3 linked regions of the Macaca fascicularis genome follow. The protein of the gene in region 2 interacts with the protein of the main gene of each other region in a pairwise test. Links are inferred from orthologs where the notes say so. Each region holds a gene or a part of one and is shown on either strand. Other genes may lie near its edges.

Region 1 (8,222 bases), on a different chromosome or scaffold from region 2:
GTAGTCCACTGTACACATTTATTTCAGTGTAGTGAGGTTATGTTTTGATGCCATCAGTGATTTAAACATTGATATTTAATGGTTCTTTTTGATCCTACAGCCATGCGCCACTTAACAGGCATATGTTCTGACAAATGCATCATTAGGCAGTTTTGTTGTGTGAACCTGGTAGAGTGTGTCTATACAAACCAATGTGTTACCATTTGTGTATCTAAACATATCCAAATACAGAAAAGGTACATTAAAGATATAGTATAAAAGATAAACAATGGAACACCTGCACAGAGCACTTACTATGAATGGAGCTTACAGGATTGAAAGTTGCTCTGAATGCGTCAGTGAGTGAATGTGAAGGCCTACAACATTACCTATGACATTACTGTACACTATCATAGACTTTATAAATACTACACTTAGGCTAAACTAATTTCATAAACATTTTTTCTTCAGTAGTGAATTAACTATAGCTCACCGTAACTTTTTTACTTTATAAATCTTCAGTTTGGAAAAAACTTTTGACTCTTATAATAACACTTAGCTTAAAACACAAACACCTTGTCCAGCTGTACAAAAATATTTTCTTTCTTTATAATCCTTATTCTATATGCTTTTTTTCTATTTACATTTTGTTTTCAATTTCATAAACATTTTTGCCCAAAACAAAGGCAAACACACATTAGCCTAGGCCTACACAGGATCAGGATTAATAATACCACTGTCTTCTGCCTCCAAATTCTGTCCCAACTCTTCAGGGACAATAAAATGCATGGAGCTGTCATCTCCTATGACGATGATGCTATCTTCTGGAATATCTCCTGAAGGAGCTGCCTGAGGTTGTTTTACAATTAACTTTTTTTTTTTTTTTACAAGTAGAAGGAGGATGCTCTAAAATAATGAAAAGTATAGGATAATAAATACATAAACCAGTAACATATTCATTATTAAATATTATGTACCATACATAATTGTATGTGCTATACTATGACTGGCAGTGCAATAGGTTTATTTACATCAGCATCATCACAAAGATGTGAGTAATGCACTGCACTACAACATTACACTAAACAAAAGGAATTTTTCAGCTCTGTTATAATCTTATGGGACCACTGTTATATATGCAGTTAGTTATTGACCAAAAACATTGTTATGTGGTGCATGATCGTGTATGAGATTTTTGCTCTTAATTTGGAATGAAATAATATGGTGTGTGTTTATATCTCTAAAATTTGGTTATTCTTTCAAATAATGGGAACCAGTTATTTGGTTAAAACGTCTTGCTCATAAGGTCAGTTTGATCTGATTTTTTCTGTGTCAGTTTTACTAAATTTATGGACAAAGACTGTCCTCTTAATCCTAGACAACCATCTTGAAAATACATGTCCTAGGTCATGAGAAATGTTATAGAAGGCACATAAAGTGCTTAAAATAGTACTGGGCATATAACCTATCTTTAGTATGAATGATATAGACTAAAATGAGTTAAGGAAATTCAGGTACTGGACCTACCCTCTTGTTAATTTACTTGGGAATGTTAATCACCACTTAATACTTAAGTCTTGAGTTTTAGACAAGCTAGCTTTTGTGTTTTCTTGGCGGCCATATTTCTAAGAGAAGTATGTTTTAAGAAAAGGCTTTTTAAAAAATTAGTAATTGTCAGCTGGATATAGAAGTGCATGCCTATAATCCCAGTCTCTTGGGAGGCCAAAGCAGGAGGATCTCTTGAGCCCAGGAATGTGAAGGCCAGCCTGGGCAAAATAGTGACACTCCATCTCAAAAAAAAAAAAAAAAAAAAAAAAAAATTAGTAGTTGTGATTTTCTAAAATAGCAGGCTCTTATTTTTCTTTTTGTTTGTTTGTAGCGATACAAACTTGGAGTTCGCTTGTATTACCGAGTAATGGAATCCATGCTTAAATCAGTAAGTTGAAAATAATATAAAAAAATTTCAGCCGGGCATGGTGGTTCACACCTGTAATCCCAGCACTTTGGGAGGCCGAGGTGGGCAGATCATGAGGTCAAGAGATCGAGACCATCCTGGCCATCTTGGTGAAACCCTGTCTCTACTAAAAGTACAAAAATTAGCTGGGCATGGTGGTACACGTCTGTAGTCCCAGCTACTCGGCAGGCTGAGGCAGGAGAATCACTTGAACCCGGGAGGTGGAGGTTGCAGTGAGCCAAGTTCGTGCCACTACACTCCAGCCTGGCAACAGAGTGAGACACCATCTTAAAAACAAAAAACAAAAAATAAACCAAAAAAAAAAACAACAAAAATTTCAATGCTAACACAAATAAGGTTTCAATTAAACAACTTCTTTTTTTTTTTTTTTTAATTATCTGTTTCAGGAAGAAGAACGATTATCCATTCAAAATTTTAGGTAAATTTTTTACTTTTAGTAAAACAATTTTTTTTTCTTTTTATAAAAGTAAATATCTTATAATCTTTTTTTTTCCTTTAGCAAACTTCTGAATGACAACATTTTTCATATGTCTTTATTGGCGTGTGCTCTTGAGGTTGTAATGGCCACATATAGCAGTAAGTTAAATTTTCATGAATAAACATTTTTGTTCAATTTAAAGTTAAAATGTAGTGTGTTTCTTTGGTGGGAGGAGAGGGATAGTGTGAGGTTAAGGAGAAGGAATGCTTATTTTAGATCACTATATACTGAACAATGTAATTGGTCATTATAAGCCATTTAAGAGGCTTATTTGAATTATTTGAGGCCATCTTGGGGATAATATTTCACTAGGCTCCTCTTCTGAGTATACTGGTATACTGAATTTAGAAAAGGTACATTTTGAAATCCCTCCGAAGACCTGTGAGATTGTAGAGTGCCAAAGGAGTATTCAAGAGTAGCCTCTACTGATATGGAAGCACTGCTATAACCTCCATGGTTATGAAACTAAAGACTGAAGCTGGAACCCACTGGATAAACAGAACAAAGGCCAGTTACAGTGTTTTTAAAAATATAAATGTATATCACTTTGCAAATTATGTTGCAAATGTTAAAAGAAAGTTTTGCTTGCAGAAACAAAAGGAACATTTGTAAAGGATGCAAAACACAGTGAAAGAGGAACTTCTAGTTTCCTTATTAGTAAACAAATAAGGAAAACTGTGAATCCTCATTTATAACCAAGAAATGCATATTTTAAAGAGATACCATTTTCTGACTAATGAAATTAGCAGGATCTTGAAGAATCTGTCTCTCCTCTTACCAAGGATTAATGAGAATTAAAATAGATATGCTAATAAATGGCTGGTAAGATACTAAACCTGTTTCTGATATAAGTTTAGGGTATTTAAACCTTTGAAAATTTGAGATAAGCTATAAGCCCTTTCTCTAGGAAAAATATAGATGTGCATACACTCAAAATTGGAAGGCTATTTCCTATGAGTCCGTAGACTCCAAAATAAAAAATTCTGCTCTAAATAAAAATCGTTTAACCTTTCTACTGTTTTCTTTGTTTGATAAGACTTTCCAAAAAAATACCTAGCTCAAGGGTTAATATTTCATATCTAAGTTACTTTTTTTTTTCATTTTTAGGAAGTACATCTCAGAATCTTGATTCTGGAACAGATTTGTCTTTCCCATGGATTCTGAATGTGCTTAATTTGAAAGCCTTTGATTTTTACAAAGTGATTGAAAGTTTTATCAAAGCAGAAGGCAACTTGACAAGAGAAATGATAAAACACTTAGAACGATGTGAACATCGAATCATGGAATCCCTTGCATGGCTCTCAGTAAGTAACTAGCTACATAATTGAAGAAATTCATTCATGTGCATATGGCTAACAAATTATCTGTTAGTGAGAGGTGTTTCTTAACATCTACCTCAAGAACAAATAGGCAATAATGAATAATGTTATTTCAGTCTGTAGCCCAAGAATCAAGTAGAATATTAGAATGGAGCTTTATTCGAGCGCCCTAAACCATCTAATACAGCATAGTGATTTATTTAAGAATAGCTTTTCTTAAAACATGGCACTTTAAAACAAAACAGAATTCTTTTTTTTTATTATTATTATATTTTAAGTTCTAGGGTAAGTTCTAAGTTCTAGGGTGCAGGTTTGTTACATATGTATACCTGTGCCATGTTGGTGTGCTGCACCCATTAGCTCGTCATTTACGTTAGGTATATCTCTTAATGCTATCCCTCCCCCCTCCCCCCACCCCACCACAGGCCCCAGTGTATGATGTTCCCCTTCCTGTGTCCAAGTGTTCTTATTGTTCAATTCCCACCTATGAGTGAGAACATGCAGTGTTTGGTTTTCTGTCCTTGCGATAGTTTGCTCAGAATAATGGTTTCCAGCTTCATCCATGTCCCTACAAAGGGCATGAACTCATCCTTTTTTATGGCTGCATAGAATTCCATGGTATATATGTGCCACATTTTCTTAATCCAGTCTATCATTGATGGACATTTGGGTTGATTCCAAGTCTTTGCTATTGTGAATAGTGTGGCAATAAACATACATGTGCATGTATGTTTATAGCAGCACGATTTATAATCCTTTGGGTATATACCCAATGATGAGATGACTGGGCCAAATGGTATTTCTAGTTATAGATGTTTGAGGAATCGCCACACTGTCTTCCACAATGGTTGAACTAGTTTACAGTCCCACCAACAGTGTAAAAGTGTTCCTATTTCTCCACATCCTCTCCAGCACCTGTTGTTTCCTGACTTTTTAATGATCACCATTCTAACTGGTGTGAGATGGTATCTCACTGGTTTTGATTTGCATTTCTCTCATGGCTAGTGATGGTGAGCATTTTTTTTTCATGTGTCTGTTGGCTGCATAAATGTCTTCTTTTGAGAAGTGTCTGTTCATATCCTTCACCCACTTTTGGATGGGATTGTTTGATTTTTTTCTTGTAGATTTGTTTAAGTTCTTTGTAGATTCTAGTTATTAGCCCTTTGTCAGATGGGTAGATTGTAAAAATTTTCTCCCATTCTGTAGGTTGCCTGTTCACTCTGATGGTGGTTTCTTTTGCTGTGCAGAAGCTCTTTAGTTTAATTAAATCCCATTTGTCAATTTTGGCTTTTGTTGCCATTGCTTTTGGTGTTTTAGTTATGAAGTCCTTGCCCATGCCTATGTCCTGAATGGTATTGCCTAGGTTTTGTTCTAGGGTTTTTATGGTTTTAGGTCTAACATTTAAGTCTTTAATCCATCTTGAATTAATTTTCGTGTAAGGTGTAAGGAAGGGATCCAGTTTCAGCTTTCTACATATGGCTAGCCAGTTTTCCCAGCACCATTTATTAAATAGGGAATCCTTTCCCCATTTCTTGTTTCTGTCAGGTTTGTCAAAGATCAGATGGTTGTAGATGTGTGGTATTCTTTCTGAGGGCTCTGTTCTAAAACAGAACATAATTCTTTAAAGTATTTAGATAATTTATTTAAAATACAGTCGTCATTATGTTTGAAAATGTAAATGTCTGCTCTTAAATTGTGAGATTATGTTATTTAGATTATTAAAAAGTGCATTTTTTTCTTGTTGAATATAATAGGATTCATTTTTCCCATTATTAGAGTATAAAAATCTATACTATTGTTCAATTATAGGTATTGGTGTATTGGTTCAATCATTATAGGGGCACAAATTATATTGTCTAGGATTCTCTTTATAGCATTATAACTATTGATAAGGCTTTTGTTTTAATAAAATTGGCAACTTGAGTTTATGCTCTTCAAATCTGCATAGTTGGATAATACTTTGTGAATCATCAGATTTGTAGATTAATGGTTTCTTTTGAAACTGTGTTGCATGCTAAGTATATATCTTTTAATTTGTATCAGTATATAGAAATGGTAATTAAAAATTAAGACTTTAGGTATGCTATAATCCTAATTTGCACATGTAACCTTAGTTTTAATTTCTTTATGTTTTGAATTTTTAATGACTAAGCAATAGTTTATTTCTTAGTGTTTTCTTGTGTTGCCATATAGACAGTGAATAGAGGAGAGAAGCATGGGAAATTGATAGAAGAATGTTATACTCCTATTATTGAATTTGGTAACTACTTATGGAATGAACTTACACTTGATAAGGAGTACTTAGGAGAAAACTTTCTGAATCTGGGGAATTAAGTGAAAGTAAAAATAAATAAATAGATAAGTAAATAAAATAAGCACATAGAGTACTTTTTAAAGGCTATGTGTCCTCTCCTCCCAGAAATTGATATTGAGATATTACCATATCATCTGAAAGTGACTATTGTTATTTCTTTTAGAGAGTTAATTTTATTTCTATCAACACATATTTATTGAACATATGCCATATGCCTTGAATTGAGAGAGATATTGTGAGGCTACAAAAAACATAAAGGCTTGGAAAATTGTGTAGGAAGTAATAAAAATTTACTGTTTAAAAATTGCTTGTATGCAAGTCTGTCTAGCTCAATTATTTAGGGCTTCTAAACAATATTCCTTTATTTTTGAAAATTTTTGGAGAAGAAGTGACAAGTCCAAAGTTTGGAAAAGACTATAATTGATTTACAATAGGAGATGTGGAAGTCATAAGCCTCCGAATTTAAATATTAAATGTGGTTCTTTGGCAGATGAAACTATAGAAGACTTTTATTTAGTCATATATTTTTAGTGTTTGAATTTTATGTTACATTTTTAATCATAAAACCCTTGAGTGGTAGTGGGTGGCTTTGTGAAGATAAGTTATGCCACACAAACAGGATGCTGTGTATTTTTTCCTGTGAGAAGAATTGACATTATAGAGAAGGGATATGGCTTAGATACATTTGCATTTTCACAGACTTTTTTTTTTATTTGAAATATATATTGAGAAAAGTATATATCTCAAGTGACAGTTTGGTGAATTTGTCACAAATTGAATACATCCATGTAAACAACACCCAGATAAAGACCCAGAGAAGGTCTTTCGATTCTGTGTCACAATAAAAAATTCTCGTTTAAACTGTAGATTGATAGGAACATATTCACACAGAGTTGTTGACTGAGGGAAATTTCAAATGAGGTGCCGCTTACTTCTCTCCTGCCAATAATTTAATGAAAAAAAGAATATCATCTTATTTTTAATGGTTGTGTGGGGAACTGGGTTCAGCATTTTTGCTTGACAGCCTTGAGAAAAGAATAAAGAAGGAAAAAGTCCACTTCTGTTTCTTTTCATCCCAGAGAGATTAACGGGCAATATGAGTGTAAGATGCTGGAAAAGTCTGTTGAGAAACCTAGTGAAATCTCATTCTCTGAAAATTTGGGGGATTACAGGTGCTTTAGAATGCATCATGCCTAAGGGTTAGATGAAATGACCTCCAGGTGTTTGACCCTATTAAATCTGTTAAGAGGCTTATAATGCCAGCAGGTGATGAAATGAAATTTGGATGCCTTAGTTTCAGTATTTTCAGAATTTATCATATTTTTTCAATAAATGTTTATAAATCAAAATACATCAGGTGCTTTATTCTCTATATGGTCTCTCTTTCCTGGACTCTTCTGGACTCTTCCTACTGATCTCTCATTTGCTACCTTGAGGCCTTTCTCTCACAGCAGCCAGAGAAATCTGCTCATAATGTAAATCTCATCATGCTAACTCCTCCGGTAAAAACCTCCTGTGGAGGACACATTCCTCTGGTAATGTTGGAAGAAAACCCTACCATATGACTCTCTGCAAAAAAAAAGACCACGATACTACCTGTTTGGAATACAAATAGTAATTGACTGAAATTACTGGACAGGAAGAACAGACTCTAGTTGAGAAAGAGAAGAGGGGAGCTGGGAGCCTGAGGAGAAGGCTTTTAGTCTAGGGCTAAGTGCAGTAGGTATAGGGAAGGACAGTATGGTAGGGCAGGAATGTCAGTGGGAAAACTATGGGTCTCTTTACCAGGGAAACTGCAAAGTTGAAGCTGGGGAAACCTTGGCCACTGAAGAGAGTGGAAGAATCCTGCAAGGGAAAGAGCCAAGAAAGGGTACCCAGATTCTGTCTGAAATCTGAATAGTTCCTGTGTATAACAGACTCAGAGCAGCCAAATGAAGGGCAGAGGATCTGAACTGAGACTGGAGTTGCTGCCCAATAAACAGAACAGTTCAAGTTAAGCAAAGATAATTACTTCTTGTAACAAACAACAAAACCATGCTCATTTTAGAAAAATAGCAGAATTTAGGATCTTCACAATTTAACATTTATGATATTCAGGATGCAATTCTAAAATTATCCAGCATAGAAAGAAGGTCAAAGGAATCAAATGCAGGTTTA
Region 2 (8,222 bases):
TACTATAAATTTCAGGTACTTATCAAAAACACTTTTTACAGTAGCTATTTCAATAGATGACAATCCCTCTATACCATTCAGACTATTAGATCTCCTAAGGTGTCTCTAAACATGTAATTTTCAGGGGAAGTATTTGCTCTGCCATACGCATAGGGGTGCAATCACAGGCTCTATCCAGACTGATTCTATCTGGTGACCAGGCAGTGAGATATCACATCAAAGGTGACTCAATCTAGCTTAATAATGGGGAAAGCAGAAATACAGTGAAAGCTGTCAAGAGACTTTGCATCTTTTGGAAAAACTATCCTACCGTTAAACATCTGGAGCTTCTCCAAAAGTGAAGAAGGTCTCTCTCCTTGTGCAGTTAAATCATCAGAACTCTTCATTGAGAACAGCTGCTTTTCAAAATTAAATTAAATTAATTGTTTTTTTGAAACAGGGTCTTGCTCTGTTGCCCAGGCTGGAGTGTAGTGGTGCAATCACGGCTCACTGCAGCCTCCACCTCCAGGGCTCAAGCAATCCTTCCATCTCAGCCGCTGGGACCACAGGCATGTGCCATCATACCTGGCTAATTTTATTATTTATTTATTTATTTATTTATTTATTTTTTTGAGACGGAGTCTCGCTCTGTCCCCCAGCCTGGAGTGCAGTGGCCGGATCTCAGCTCACTGCAAGCTTCGCCTCCCGGGTTTACGCCATTCTCCTGCCTCAGCCTCCCGAGAAGCTGGGACTACAGGCGCCCACCACCTCGCCCGGCTAGTTTTTTTTTTTGTATTTTTTTTTTTTTTTTAGTAGAGACGGGGTTTCACCGGGTTAGCCAGGATGGTCTCGATCTCCTGACCTTGTGATCCGCCCATCTCGGCCTCCCAAAGTGCTGGGATTACAGGCTTGAGCCACGGCGCCCGGCCTTATTATTTATTTTGTCTAGACCCAGGGTCTCACTCTGCTGCCACGGCTGGTCTTGAACTCCTGGGCTCAATGGATCCTCCCATCTTGGCCTCCCGAAGTGCTGGGATTACAGGTGTGAGACACTGTGCCCAGGTGAGAACAGTTTCCATAAGATGACAAGGCTGAAATGAAATTCTAGGTGGTATAATTTTATCATCTGACATTTATTTAATGCTAGTTTTTCTTCTAGTGGGTAAAAATTTTAGATGTTTATCTATAACTGACAAACACAGGCCTAAAGCCTGAGGGCTACTAATTAATTAAAAAGTCAAATCATAAATATTCTAAACACTACTATACTTTTCAATCACATACCAGAAGACACATCCCGTTTTCATAAAACTATTTTTTTTTTAAGACAAGTCAGGTACAGTAGTGAGAACGAAGGGAAAGAGTAAAAGAAGGAGTTTGATCTGTAACTGAACGATCAACTGAGATAACTAATGGCCTCTGGAACAGCTAAAACTCAGTATTTTAAACCAAAAGGTAAGACTTAGTCTGCACCTGGGTAGTCTTTGGACCATGGAGAAAATACCAAAAAATAATAAAGAGGTCAGATAAGTCCCTGCTTAGCTAATATTCTTCCTCTCTTGTGGCTTTTTTCTAAACAGCTTCATTCAAGTATACTTGGTATATATAAACTGTACATATGTAATGCGTTTAGTTTATATATATATAAACTATACATATGTAATGCGAATATTTAGTTATGTTTAAGGATGATTTTGAATTAAAATTCTTCATAAAACTAAGAGTATATTGTCTTATTAAAGAGAATGTCTGACTGAATGTCTATACCAACATTCATTTAATAACAAATGAGTTTTGAACTATATGTGCCACATACAAAAAAAGTCTAAGAATACAATCATGTAGAGAATAAAATCTTTAGTTAAAGAGGTCCCTTCAGGCCAGGTGTGGTGGCTCGAGCCTGTAATCCCAGCACTTTGGGAGGCCAAGGCGGGTGGATCACTTGAGGTCAGGAGTTCGAGACAAGCCTGGCCAGAATGGTGAAACCCCATCTCTACTAAAAATACAAAGAAAAAAGAGCTGGGTGTGGTGGCGTGTGCCTGTAGTCCCAGCTATTCAAGAGGCTGAGGCAGGAAAATCGCTTGAACCTGGGAGGTGGAGGTTGCAGTGAGCTGAGATCATGCCACTGCACTCCAGCCTGGGCCTTGCAGAGACTCCATCTCAAAAAAAAAAAAAAAGGCCCCTTCATAAAAACTAGTTATTAAATGCTCTATGAGCTCCTCTGGAATGATATTTTCACAACAAAGGGTCTGTGAAATGGACCCTGCTTAATTAAATAGCTCTTTTAAGGCTAAGGACTCGAGCTTTTCATTTCATTTAAACCAATGATTACAATGAAGTTCAGACCTTAGTGACTATGAATTACTATATGCCTGGAACAGTGGCAATGTCCAGATTAATAATCCTAGCTTGAGCACAGAAATGGGAGTATGCTACCCCAAAGAAAGTTATATGACATGAAGACTTCAGATCACATACCCAACTAACTTAACTTCGGTAGAAAATATAAAACCAGAAAAGTGTGGATCTATATTTTTTAGCATTATGCTGCTGGTAAGACAGAACAAAAATTACTACTCTTGACCTTTTATTAACAGCCTAAAAGCTGAATATATTCTCAAATTATATTAAATGTAAGTGTCATATCTAAACAAGCTAGTTGCATGTCAACAACCTAACAAATAAACATCTTTTTAATTCAGATACCATTTATAAACATACAGCATTCTGGATAAGTGAGGTTTAAAAATCCAAAATTCATAGCAGGAGATTTAAAAAGATTCTCTCTTTTTAAATATAACTTTGCTAGTAGTTTTTGTTAGGTTATTTATTTTATTTAAAGTCATTTTGGCTGGGTGCAGAGGCTCATGGCTGTAATCCCAGCGTTTTGGGAGGTCAAGGCAGGAGGACCACTTGAGGCCAGGAGTTCCAGACCAGCCTGGGCAACATAGTGAGACCCTGTCTCTAGCGAAAAACAAAACAAAAAAGTGCTGGGTGTGGTGGCACATGCCTGTAGTCCTTGCTACCTGGAAGGCTGAGATAGGATAGTTTGAGTCCATAAGTTGGAGGCATCAGTGAGCCATGACTGTGCATGCCACTGCACTCCAGCCCGGGTGACAGAGTGAGGCCCTATATTTAAAAAAAAAAAAAAAAAAAAAAGTCATTTTGATGATACAATAAAAGAGAAATTGTTTTTTGAAATTTGGTAAAGCAGAATAATATAAGCACAATCACATTAAAGTGATATAACCAATCTCTAATTCCAACTAAATTACTGAAGAGTCCTTTTATCTTTAGGAATGTTTTTATGTCACAAAACTACCACCCAACCTGCAGAAAAGGTAAAGAAACCATAGAAAAAAAAGTGCATGTTCACATTTGGGCACATACAGTATTTTATTTTATTATCTTATTTCATTTTATTTTTGAGACAGAGTCTTGCTCTGTTGCCCAGGCTGGAGTGCAATGGCACAATCTTGGCTCACGGCAACCTCCATCTCCTATGTTCAAGTGATTCACTTGCCTCAGCCTCCCCAGTAGCTGGGACTACAGGCGTGTGCCACCATGCCTGGCTAATTTTTTGTATTTTAGTAGAGATGGGACTTCACCACGTTGGCCAGGCTGGTCTTTAACTCCTGACCTCAGGTGATCCATCCGCCTCGGCCTGCCAAAGTGTTGGGATTATAGGCATGAGCCACTGTGCCCGGCCAAGTATTTAAAAAAATTAATTATAAAATGTTGCAATCTATACTCTCACCTCTTTCCATACAAGTCTGAGTGGAAGGAAAACCAACTTCCCAAAAATTCTCTGGTGTGTTGGGTGGAATGTAGCGGAATCGGTGTCTTGAGCAGGAAGCCAACTTCTTTTCTCTTTCTTCTGCTGGCATATCTGCATAATACTAACAATAAAAACTGGTAAGTTTTTTCACTGAAGAATAATAAATGGAGTGTTATGCTTATTGATTATAAACTAGAAGCTAAAAAAGCCATTTACTAAGATATTCAGCATTCTAAGGAAACTTAATCCTCACTGATGATACTATTAGTAATTAATTCTTATAGACAGTACTGATGTTGGTCTGTGAAGTGCCTGCTTCACTGATGAGAAAAGGAGCTTGTATCACAATGTAAACCAATAAAGTGCTTCCTTCATCAATAAAGTCTTGCAATGAAAAAAAAAGAAAAGCCAGTTGAACTTGACAGTGTGCTTAGTGATACAGTGGATTTATACACTGGTAGAAAGTCTTTATCCTTATTAGGCCAGTAACAAAAATTCAGAGGTCTACATGTTTCTTAATTGTTATCTGAATATAATGTGTGTTTCAAGGTAATTTTCCGATCTCTACGGTTTTAAAAAACAATTTAGATCTGAATGTTGTAGGCTCCATGAGTTCTCCCTTTAAGGTTTCAGTTAGGATCAAAAGCATACTATTTTTTGGCAACTGTGAAAACACAGAACTTGAACTTCATGCACACAAGGATAAAATTATATGTAAAAATTGTACAGGTTTTTAAGGCCTAGACCTAATGAAAACAAAGCAGTAGTATAAGGTTTAATAGAACATAGATGGACAGAATCACTTTTTTTTTTGAGAGACAAAGTCTTACTCTGTCACCCAGGCTGGGGTGCAGTGACACGATCTTGGCTCGCTGCAACCTCCCACTCCTGTGTTCAAGTGATTCTCTTGCCTCAGTTTCCCAAGTAGCTGGGACTACAGGCATGTGCCACCATGCACAGCTAATTTTGTCTTTTTAGTAGAGACGGGGTTTTACTATATATTAGCCAGGCTGGTCTCGAACTCCTGACCTCAAGTAATCCACCTGTCTCAGCCTCCCAAAGTGCTGGGATTACAGGAATGAGCCACCCAGAATCACATATCTAATCCAGCCAATTCCTTCACTTTACACTTGAGAAATTGAAAATGAAAGTGGTAATTTGCTAAAGATATCACCTATTGAAAGTGACAGACTTAAAACTAGAATTTAAGTTTGAAGTAAAAGCTTTTAATACATTTCTATTTTACGTAGATTAAAGGCTTTAAAGAAGTGTGAAACAACTTTATTCAGGTATCTTTTTCATCATTCTCACGGCCCTAAGTTTAAGCCTTTGTTACCTTAGTCTGGGCTTTGGGATGAGATGACCTTAGAGAATCAGGGATTACTGGAAAAAACATTGCCACTGAATTAAAACATACTTGAGAAACAGTAGTCGGTCAGTGCAGTTCTAAGACGGCAAGCAAATGGGTGAGTGGTAGAACAGGAAATCAGAGAGGAAGTGCAGTGCCAGAGTTTGTTGTCCTTGATAAGGACTTTAGATTCTTTTTCTTAGTGGGATGGGAGGACACTAAAGGATTTTGGGAATGACATGATTTAACTTTCATTCTAAAAAAAGGCCATTCATTGCTGAGCTGAAAGTACATTGTTAACAGACAAGAATGAAAAGTAAAAGAGAATGAGGACAGAAGTACATGGGAACTCTATGTACTTTCTGTACAACTTTGCTGTGAACCTGTAACTGCTCTAAAAAAATAAATATTTATTTATTTCTTTGAGATGGAGTTTCGCTCTTGTTGCCTAGGTTGGAGTGCAATGGAGCGATCTCAGCTCACTGCAACCTCTGCCTCCTGGGTTCAAGCGATTCTCCTGCCTCAGCTTCCCTAGTAGCTGGGATTACAGGCATGCACCACCACATCCAGTTAATATTTGTATTATTAGTAGAGACAGGGTTTTACAATGTTGGCCAGGCTGGTATTGAACTCCTGACCTCAGGTGATCCACCCGCCTCAGCCTCCCAAAATGCTGGAATTAGAGGCGTGAGCCAGTGTGCCCAGTCAAAATAAAAGTTTTAGAGTAAAAAATAAATGACCAGGAGAGCACTTAGAAGCTATTACAATTATAAAATGTTGGCTGGGTGCAGTGGCTCACGCCTGTAATCCCAACACTTTGGGAGGCCGAGGTGGGCGTTTCACAAGGTCAGGAGATTGAGACCATCCTGGCTAAGATAGTGAAACCCCGTCTCTACTGAAAATACAAAAAAATTAGTCAGGCGTGGTGGCGGGTGCCTGTAGTCCCAGCTACTCGGGAAGCTGAGGTGGGAAAATGGCGTGGACCCAAGAGGCAGAGCTTGCAGTGAGCTGAGATGGTGCCACTGTGCTCCAGCCTGGGCAACAGAGCATGACTCCATCTCAAAAAAAGAAAAAAAAAATTAAAAATGTTGCCTTGGTCCAGGGCATTAGTGGTGGTGACAGTAAGTGGATGGATATGGGATATATATATATATATATTTTTTTTTTGAGACGGAGTCTCGCTCTGTCGCCCAGGCTGGAGTGCAGTGCCCATATCTCGGCTCACTGCAAGCTCTGCCTCCCGGGTTTACGCCATTCTCCTGCCTCAGCCTCCCGAATAGCTAGGACTACAGGTGCCCGCCACCTCGCCCGGCTAGTTTTTTTTTTTTGTATTTTTTAGTAGAGACGGGGTTTCACAGTGTTAGCCAGGATGGTCTCGATCTCCTGATCTTGTGATCCGCCTGTCTCAGCCTCCCAAAGTGCTGGGATTACAGGCTCGAGCCACTGCACCTGGCCTGATATGGGATATATTTTGAAGGAAGAATCAACGAATCAATGGGGTTTGTTGATACGTAAGTTATTGAGATGTGAAATAAAAAAGTAGTGAATAACTACAAGATCTCAGGACATATAGGAGATTCAGCGGTGAGGTTTGGGAATTGAGGGCAGATATTGTATGTTTGTTTTTGGACGTGTGAAATTTGAGATCACTACTGCAGATCCACATGAGTATTGCACACTCAACTTGTGGAATAGGCAATGGGATACATTTAAGAACTGCAAGCTTGTAGTTAGTATTTAAGTACATGGGACTGGCACTTACACTTCTGTTTATGATTGAGTAACAGAACAGATTCACCCTCCTACCTAAATTAACTAGAAAAACTAAAATGTACACAATAATGTTTTGCAGAGATTGGATAACAGAAAACACGGGAAATGATTATTGAGAATGAATGCAACTTAACAGCTTTTCTATCAAACTAGCTTTTTTCTAACTAGTAGGATTAGTTCTAGATCGTAGAATTATGGATATAACTAAAAATCAGAGATTTACTCAATGCGGACCATATTCTTTTTTTTTTTTTTTTTGAGACGGAGTCTCGCTCTGTGTCCCGGGCTGGAGTTGCAGTGGCCGGATCTCAGCTCACTGCAAGCTCCGCCTCCCGGGTTCACGCCATTCTCCTGCCTCAGCCTCCCGAGTAGCTGGGACTACAGGCGCCGCCACCTCGCCCGGCTAGTTTTTTGTATTTTTTAGTAGAGACGGGGTTTCACCATGTTCACCAGGTTGGTCTCAATCTCCTGACCTCGTGATCCACCCGTCTCGGCCTCCCAAAGTGCTGGGATTACAGGCTTGAGCCACCGCGCCTGGCCGCGGACCATATTCTTTAAGAAATCATGATATATTGAATTTGTGTAATGATAACTCACGAACTCACATTATAGGCTTTTGCTTGTATTGCCAAACTGCTTTTCAAAATAGTGATCCCCATTGTTAGTACATAAGAGCATATTTTTACCCAATGCTTACCTGCATTACAATCTAGTCATACTTTCACATATAATTTTCATGTGCTTGGTTATCAAATTTTCTAGCCCACAGGTTAAAAAGGAAATTTAAAAGGGGAAGTAAATTGCTGAAGGCAGGCATCTGAGAGCTAATGGACAACAAGGGAAGAAATAAAAACAGCATGTTCCAGGTCAAAACAGAACCTGCCTGGGACTATTTAGTAAAAGGACAATCAGTACAGTTGGCCCTTCATATCCTTGGGTTCTGCATTCATGGATTCAACCAGCCATGGATCAAAAATATTCAGGAAAAAAACCTGCATCTGTATTAAACATGTACAGACTATTTTTCTTGTCATTCCCTATGCAATACAGTATAACAACTATTTACATAGCATTTACATTGTAATAGGGATCATAAGTAATTAGAGGTAATTTAAAGCATAATGAAAGAATGTGCATGGTTATAGGCAAACACTACGTCATTTTATATCAGGGACTTGAGCATCTGTGATTTTGGTATCCACAGTAGGTCCTGAAGCCAGTTTTCCACAGATACAAAGGGATGTCTGTACCAGCTACTTCAACATCCAAGACAGCCCATGTATAAAAGGAAAAATGTAAGTGTTTAACTGTTTATTCATTGTATCTTGTTTAGGAAGAAAAATT
Region 3 (8,222 bases), on a different chromosome or scaffold from region 2:
GGACTATTAGTATTTTTTTTTTTTTTTTTTTGAGACGGAGTCTCGCTCTGTCGCCCAGGCTGGAGTGCAGTGGCCGGATCTCGGCTCACTGCAAGCTCCGCCTCCCGGGTTCACGCCATTCTCCTGCCTCAGCCTCCCCAGTAGCTGGGACTACAGGCGCCCACCACCACGCCCGGCTAGTTTTTTGTATTTTTTAGTAGAGACGGGGTTTCACCGTGTCAGCCAGGATGGTCTCGATCTCCTGACCTCGTGATCCGCCTGCCTCGGCCTCCCAAAGTGCTGGGATTACAGGCTTGAGCCACCGCGCCCGGCCACTATTAGTATTTTTAAAAGGCACTTAAAATATTCCTTTCCAGTCCAACTCAAAATACATCTCTGTCAATTACATTTTGGATAAATATTTTAAAAAGCACATTTTTGTGCAATTTTTTTCTTATAATCCAGCAATATTTACCATCCATAGGGCTAAAAGGTTTGAAGGACAGAGCTCCAACTTTCTGCAGAACAATCTGAAAGTGCTTTTATCATAGAAGCAAGAACATTAATGATTTGCTCTTTCACTGACAACATCCTGTAGTCGTTTCAGTAAAACATCATCATTTTCTTGACAGACGCGTTTGGCAGGGGATTCTGCATCACTATCGATGGCTATTACTCGCTTCTTGGTTCTCTGCTCACCTTGCCTTATCATGTTGTTGATCTCTTTCAAACTCTGTGCAGAAATAGAGAACGTGTGTGAGTAAAAGAGGGAGAAGGGAAATGGCAGCAAACAACCAAGTGAATTGTTTTTTCCTGTGTTCTATCCTCTATCCAAATCTTCACACTGGGATAAGGATTCTTTTTAAAACTTAGAACAACCTCATAAGGGATGGCTTGAACTAATCTTTTCAGGTGGCTTAAAAATTAGATTTAAGGCCAGGTGTGGTGGCCTGTAATACCAGCACTTTGGGAGGCCAAGATGGTTCAATCACTTGAGCCCAGGAGTTTGAGATCAGCCTGGGCAACATGGCAAACCTGGTCTCTACAAAAAATACAAAAATTAGGCAGGTGTGGTGGCCTGTGCCTGTAGTCTCAGCTACTCGGGAGGCTAAGGAGCATCACCTGAGCCTGGGGAGGTTGCGGCTGCAGTAAGCAGTGATCATGCCACTGTACTCCAGCTTGGGAAACAGAGTGAGACCCTGTCTGAAAAAACAAAACCAAAACAACTGAATTCACTGTATAATAGTAGTTCTCGATGACCAGAAGCAGAAGAAGCATCTATAATTTTTTTATTTTTTGAGACAGGTTCTCTCTCTGTTGCCCAGGCTGGAGTGCAGGGCATGATCTTGGCTCACTGCAAGCTTCACCTCCTGGGCTCAAGCTATTCTCCTGCCTCAGCCTCCCTAGCTGGGACTACAGGCACATGCCACCATGCCTGGCTATTTTTTTGTATTTTTAGTAGAGACAGGATTTTATCATGTTGGCCAGGCTGGTCTTGAACTCCCGGCCTCAAGTGATCCCCCAACCTTGGCTTCCCAAAGTGCTGGGATTACAGGGGTGAGCCACCATGCCTGGCCTTATCTGTTTTTTTTTTTGTTTATTTTTGAGACGAAGTCTTGTTCTTGTCACCCAGGCTGGAGTGCAATGGCACGATCTCAGCTCACTGCAACCTCTGCCTACTGGGTTCAAGCGATTCTCCTGCCTCAGCCTCCTGAGTAGCTGGGATTATAGGTGCCCACCACCATGCCTGGCTAATTTTTGTATTTTTAGTAGAGACGGGGTTTCGCCATGTTGGCCAGGCTGGTCTTGAACTCCTGATCTCGTGATCTGCCTGCCTCGGCCTCCCAAAGTGCTGGGATTACAGGCGTGAGCCACTGCGACCAGCCCTAATCTGTTTTAACAAGCCCTCCCAATGATTTTAAAGCTCCCTACAGTTTGAGATCCTCTTCCTTAGAGTAATGCTTTTCAATTTTTTTTTTTTTTTTTGAGACAGAGTCTTCTTCTGTCGCCCAGGCTGGAGTGAAAAAGGGGTGATCTCGGCTCACTGCAACCTCCGCCTCCTGGGCTCAAGCGATTCTCCTGCCTCAGCCTCCTGAGCAGAGTAGCTGAGATTACAGGTGCGGACCATCATGCCTGGCTAATTTTTTGTATTTTTAGTAGAGATGGGGTTTCGCCATGTTGCCCAGGCTGGTCTTGAACTCCTGAGATCAGGCAATCCGCCTGCCTTGGCCTCCCAAAGTGCTAGGATTATAGGCTTGAGCCACTGTGTCCAGTCAGGTATATTATCTTAGCCAACTTTGTCAAGTATAGTGAGAACTCTGTAGGCATCTGTATAACTTAATAGGAAAGTAATAAGAAGGAGCCAATGTATTTGGACTGAATTACAATATGCCCCACTACAATTTCTTCCAGTTTATACTGATTCTGACTTCTGGAGACATACTGAACAGATCTGCTTGACAGTCCATGAAGTATCTGAAAACAGCAATCATGTCCATATCACATCTTCACCACTCAACAAGGATAAGGATGGAGATGATCACAGAGTTGTCTATGTACATAAGAGGAGGCTTGTGTTTTCAGACGTCTTCCTATCTTGGGTGCCATCTACCAAATGCACTTTCACTTCCAATGCCTTTCTTTCAACTTGACATCCCCCAGGTCTGACCACTTGCAGATGTTGCTTTACTGGTCCCTTCTCAAGATCTTGCTTGAACAGGAAAACATGCTGGACTTTCAAAATGAACTCCACAAATACCATGTCAATAATAATGGATTAAACTACCTCAAACTGAATATACTGCTCTTGATGAGAGGAGACATGCCATAGTTAACATTTCATATTTTATTAGTATAGTAGAAACTTGGCCAAAAACAAAAAAAGAGGCAAGATTAACAGTTACTGACTGTTAATGTGAAATCCAGCTTTTAGCCTATTCACCTTACCTTAGAAGGGCTGCCATTGAACTTGTACAGCAGAGTGCTTCTTGGTGTAAGGCCTGACCCATTCTTGTGTGGGGAAATATAAATGGAGTGCTGTTGGGAAATGCGGCGTGGTGAGCCTGGCTGTTGTTTAATATGTGGAAAAGGAGAGAGTGGTGGAGCATCCATCTAAAATAACCCAAAAGTCAGATTTTTTAGATAAAAGTTTTTCTTTGTTTTTGAATCCCATATTTTTATTCTTTTTTTTTTTTTTTTTTTTTTTTTTGAGATGGAGTCTAGCTCTGTCGCCCAGGCTGGAGTACAGTGACCGGATCTCGGCTCACTGCAAGCTCTGCCTCCCGGGTTTATGCCATTCTCCTGCCTCAGCCTCCTGAGTAGCTGGGACTACAGGCGCCCGCCACCTCGCCCGGCTAGGTTTTTTTTGTATTTTTTAGTAGAGACGGGGTTTCACCATGTTAACCAGGATGGTCTCGATCTCCTGACCTTGTGATCCGCCCGTCTCGGCCTCCCAAAGTGCTGGGATTACAGGCTTGAGCCACCGCGCCCGGCCATTTTTATTCTTATGATATCTCCTAGTTAGGAATCAGTTATACTATAAAAGCTCATTTATGGTTGAGAAAAGCAAAAAAAAAAAAAAAGATCTGTTACTTCTTTTTTTTTTTTTTGTTTTTTACAACAACAACAGATAAAGTAGAATTTATTTTCTTGGATCTTTTTTTTTTTTTGAGATGAAGTATCTCTCGCTCTTGTTGCCCAGGCTAGAGTAAGATGGTGCAGTCTAGGCTCACTGCAACCTCTGCCTCCCAGGTTCAAGCGATTCTCCTGCCTCAACCTCCCAAGTAGCTGAGATTACAGGCATGTGCCACCACGCCCAGCTAATTTTGTATTTTTAATAGAGATGACCATCTTGGCCAGGCTGGTCTCCAACTCCTGACCTCAGGTGATCCACCCACCTCGGCCTCCCAAAGTGCTGGGATTATAGGTGTGAGCCACTATGCCCTGCCTATTTTCCTGGATCTTTCAGGAAGTCCTATAACTAGTATTAAGAATTCTGGCCGGGTGTGGTGGCTCACACTTGTAATCCCAGCACTTTGGGAGGCCGAGGTGGGTGGATCACCTGAGGTCAGGAGTTTGAGACCAGCGTGGCCAGCATGGTGACACTCTGTCTCCACTAAAAATGCAAAAATTAGCTGGGCGTGGTGGCACATGCCTGTAATCCGAGCTATTCGGGAGGCTGAGGCACTAGAATTGCTTGAACCCAGGAGGCAGAGGTGTTGCAGTAAGCCCAGATTGTGCCACTGCACTCCATCCTAGGTGACAGAGCAAGAATCTGCCTCCAAAAAAAAAAAAAAAAAGATTTCTGGGGCCAGGTGCAGTGGCTCACTCCTATAATCCAGCACTTTGGGAGGCCAACATGCTCTGATCACTTGAGGCCAGGAGTTGGAGACTAGTCTGGCCAACATGGCAAAACCCCACTTCAGCCTCCTGAGTAGCTCCTAAAAATATAAAAATTAGCCAGGTATGGTGGCATGCGCCTGTAGTCCCAGCCACTTGGGAGGCTGAGCATGACAACTGTTTGAACCCAGGAGGCAGAGGTTGCAGTGAGCCGAGTTTATGTCACTGCACTCCTCCCTAGGTGACAGAGTGAGACTCTGTCTCAAAAGAAAAAAAAAAAATTCTGGACAAGACACCAGGAGTTAAGCCACGAGCACGAGAACCTCATATTCATGCTTAAAAAGTAAGGACAGGCTGGGCAGGGTGGCTCACGCTTGTAATCCCAGCACTTTGGGAGGCCGAGGTGGGTGGATCATGAGGTCAAGAGTTCAAGACCAGCCTGGCCAAGATGGTGAAATCCTGTCTCTACTAAAAATACGAAAATCAGCTGGGCGTGGTGACAGGCGCCTGTAATGCCAGCTACTCAGGAGGCTGAGGCACAGAATTGCCTGAAGCCGGGAGGTGGAGGTTGCAGTGAGCCAAGACTGTGGCCACTGTACTCCAGCCTGGGCAACAGAGCGAGACTCCTTCTCCAAAAAAAAAAAAAAAAAAAAAAAGTAGGGACAAAGAATAACCAATCTTCTAACACTTGCTATAACAATCTCTCTCTACACACACACAAAATCTCTCTCTACCCCACAACCAAAGCAGTAGCAGAGAGAATAAAAGAGGCAGAGAATTCTATAAGCCAGCAGAATGATTCTGACATGGAAAAAAATCTGTTAATGAAATGGGAAACACTTCATATGGAAATGGAAAATATTTAGAAATAAGTTGGATGAGCAAGGATTTCATTTTCTTTAATATCCTGTATAATGGAAATAAATTAAGATGGTAGAGATATTCAGAGTATATAGACAGAGGGGAAGTGAAACTGGAGTAGGATGAACAGTTATGACCTCTGAGGATAGTCATAGACCATATTCCATGAAAAGAGGAAGAACAGAAATGTACAGATGCACACAGATACATAGAAACAGCTATTGGCTGGCTGGCTGCAGCTTCTGCTAGGGCCTTCTTTTCTTTTCTTTTTTTGAGGCAGGGTCTTGCTCTGTTGCCCAGACTGGAGTGCAGTGATGCGACTGTGGTTCATTGCAGCCTTGACCTCCTGGGCCCAAGCGATCCTCCTACCTTAGCTTGCTGAGTAGTTGGGACCACTACTTGGGTGTATACCAGCCACTACATGGCTAATTTGTAGAGTTTTTTTTTTTTTTTAAAGAGACAGGGCCTTCTTATTTTTCCAGGCTGGTCTCAAATTCCTGGGCTCAAGCAATCCTCCAGGCTTAGCTTCCCAAAGTGCTGGGATTACAGGCTTGGGAAGTGCCTGGCTGGTCTCTTTTTCTTAGAGCTAAAGTCTGGTCTTCTGGGAAGCAACCTCAGCTTACACACTGGTAACACTTTCTCAGGCCTGCTGCGACTGCCAAAACTGGGGTCTGCATAATTTTTTTTTTTTTTTGAGACGGAGTCTCGCTCTGTTGCTTGGGCTGGAGTGCAGTGGCATGATCTTGGCTCACCGCAAGCTCCACCTCCCCGGTTCACGCCATTCTCCTGCCTCAGCCTCCCTAGAAGCTGGGACTACAGGCGCCCGCCACTATGCCTGGCTAATTTTTTTTTTTGTCTTTTCAGTAGAGACAGGGTTTCACTGTGTTAGCCAGGATGGTCTCAATCTCCTGACCTCGTGATCCGCCTGCCTTGGCCTCCCAGAGTGCTGGGATCACAACCGTGAGCCACCACGCCTGGCCTGCATAAAAATTTCTTAGTGGTGCCTCTATTAATGATCCAGGCCTATCTACTTCCTTTTGCCTTTTTTTTTTTGAGACGGAGTCTTGCTCTGTTGTCCAGGCTGGTGTGCAATGGTGCAATCTTGGCTCACTGCAACTCTGCCTCTCGGATTCAAGTGATTCTCCTGTCTTAGCCTCTCACGTAGCTGGGATTACGGGTGCCTACCACCATGCCCGGCTAATTTTTGTATTTTTAGTAGAGATGGGGTTTCACCATGTTGACCAGGCTGGTCTTGAACTCCTGACCTCACGTGATCCACCTGCCTCGGCCTCCCAAAGCACTGGGATTACAGGCATGAGCCACAGCGCCTGACCTCCTTTTGTCTTTTTTTTTTTTTTTTGAGATGGAGTTTCCTTCTTGTCACCCAGGCTGGAGTGCAGTGGCACAATTTCTGCTCACTACAACCTCTGCTTCCTGGGTTCAAGTGATTCTCCTGCCTCAGCCTCCCGAGTAGCTGGGATTACAGGTGCCTGCCACCACGCCACCTAATTTTTGGTAGAGATGGGATTTCACCATGTTGGCCAGGCTGGTCTTGAACTCCTGTCCTCTGGTGATCCACCCACCTCGGTCTCCCAAAGTGCTGGGATTACAGGCATGAGCCACCACACCTGGCCCCTTCTGTCTTTAACTTGAGAAAAACATTAATCTCACAATGTAACAACAGAAAAATTTACCAAATTTGCTGGGCGCAGTGGCTCATGCCTATAATCCCAGCACTCTGGGAGGCTGAGGTGGGCGGATCACGAGGTCAGGAGTTCAAGACCAGCCTGACCAACATGGTGAAACCCTGTCTCTACTAAAGATACAAAAAATTAGCCAGGTGTAGTGACATGCTCCTGTAATACCAGCTACTGGGGAGGCTGAGGCAGGAGAATCACTTGAACCTGGGAGGCGGAGGTTGCAGTTGAGCTGAGATCATGCCATTGCACTCCAGCCTGGGTGACGGGGTGAGACTCTGTCTCAAAATAAATAAATAAATAAATACAAACAAATTAATTGTTTTAATATTCATGTTCCCATCAAGTTCTTACCCATATGTACACGGAATTTCTAGTAACATAATCATGGTATAGATAAAATTTCTGCCAGGCGTGGTGTTTCACACCTGTAATCCCATCACTTTGGGAGTCTGAGGTGGGTAGATTGCTTAAGTCCAGGAGTTCCAGACCAGCCTGGCCAACATGGTGAAACCCTGTATCTACTAAAAATACAAAAAAATTAGCCAGGCGTGGTGGTGGCACGCAGCTGTCCTACCAGCTACTTGGGAGGCTGGGGTGGGAGCATCGCTTGAGCCCTGGAAGCAAAGGTTGCAGTGAGCCAGGATCTCACCACTGCACTGTAGCCAGGGCAACAGATTCCATGATTTCCTCTGGTCTCTGTTGTACCATAGCCTTAATCACCGATTAAGTTACTAGTCATGCTCTGATTAATTGCTAGTAATTTTACTTTGACATACTTATCTAGCAAAATAAACTTACAGTAATTCAACTATGACAGCGAATAATAATAAAGTAGTAAAACATAAAACATACCACATGGTCCTGATTTGACAAGTCGTATTTCAGTGCAAATGACTTCACTCTTCCTACATATATTGTATTGTAAAATTTTATAAGATCACCTCTTTCCTCTTTCACTGGTCCACTGGAACAGTCAGGTGTTTTTGTAGCATCTTCCAAGTCTGTTAAAAAGAATGCAATGTTGTGATACAAAGCATACTTTTTATTTTATTTTTTTTGAGACAGGGTCTCACTTTGTCACCCAGGGTGGAGTGCAGTGGTGCAATGTTGGCTCACTGCAACCCCAACCTCCTGGATTCAAGTGATCCTCCCACCTCAGCCTCCTGAGTAGCTGGGACTACAGGCACGCACCACCATGCCTGGCTATTTTTTATTTTTAGTAGAGACGGCGTTTATTTTTAGTAGAGACGGCAATATTTCCATGTTGCCCAGGATGGTTTCCAACTCCTGGGCTCAAGTGATCTGCCAGCCTCAGCCTCTCAAAGTGCAGGGATTACAGGCGTG

Evidence for each region. The genes of interacting proteins can lie anywhere in the genome.
Region 1: the proteins of RBBP8 (region 2) and RB1 interact in a two-hybrid assay, tested with the Homo sapiens proteins (2 studies listed by BioGRID). The link is inferred for Macaca fascicularis from reciprocal best matches to the Homo sapiens genes RBBP8 and RB1.
Region 3: the proteins of RBBP8 (region 2) and RBL1 interact in a two-hybrid assay, tested with the Homo sapiens proteins (2 studies listed by BioGRID and IntAct). The link is inferred for Macaca fascicularis from reciprocal best matches to the Homo sapiens genes RBBP8 and RBL1.

What each region holds. Positions count from the first base shown.
Region 1 is NC_088391.1:27,514,262-27,522,483, forward strand, and holds part of RB1 (retinoblastoma-associated protein), read left to right. Parts: intron 1-1,858; coding exon 1,859-1,915; intron 1,916-2,340; coding exon 2,341-2,372; intron 2,373-2,453; coding exon 2,454-2,530; intron 2,531-3,539; coding exon 3,540-3,736; intron 3,737-8,222. UniProt on the Homo sapiens protein: Tumor suppressor that is a key regulator of the G1/S transition of the cell cycle. The hypophosphorylated form binds transcription regulators of the E2F family, preventing transcription of E2F-responsive genes.
Region 2 is NC_088392.1:66,744,889-66,753,110, forward strand, and holds part of RBBP8 (DNA endonuclease RBBP8), read right to left. Parts: intron 3,879-8,222; coding exon 3,737-3,878; intron 1-3,736. UniProt on the Homo sapiens protein: Endonuclease that cooperates with the MRE11-RAD50-NBN (MRN) complex in DNA-end resection, the first step of double-strand break (DSB) repair through the homologous recombination (HR) pathway.
Region 3 is NC_088384.1:93,117,896-93,126,117, forward strand, and holds part of RBL1 (retinoblastoma-like protein 1), read right to left. Parts: intron 7,880-8,222; coding exon 7,731-7,879; intron 3,091-7,730; coding exon 2,926-3,090; intron 713-2,925; coding exon 542-712; 3' UTR 1-541. UniProt on the Homo sapiens protein: Key regulator of entry into cell division. Directly involved in heterochromatin formation by maintaining overall chromatin structure and, in particular, that of constitutive heterochromatin by stabilizing histone methylation.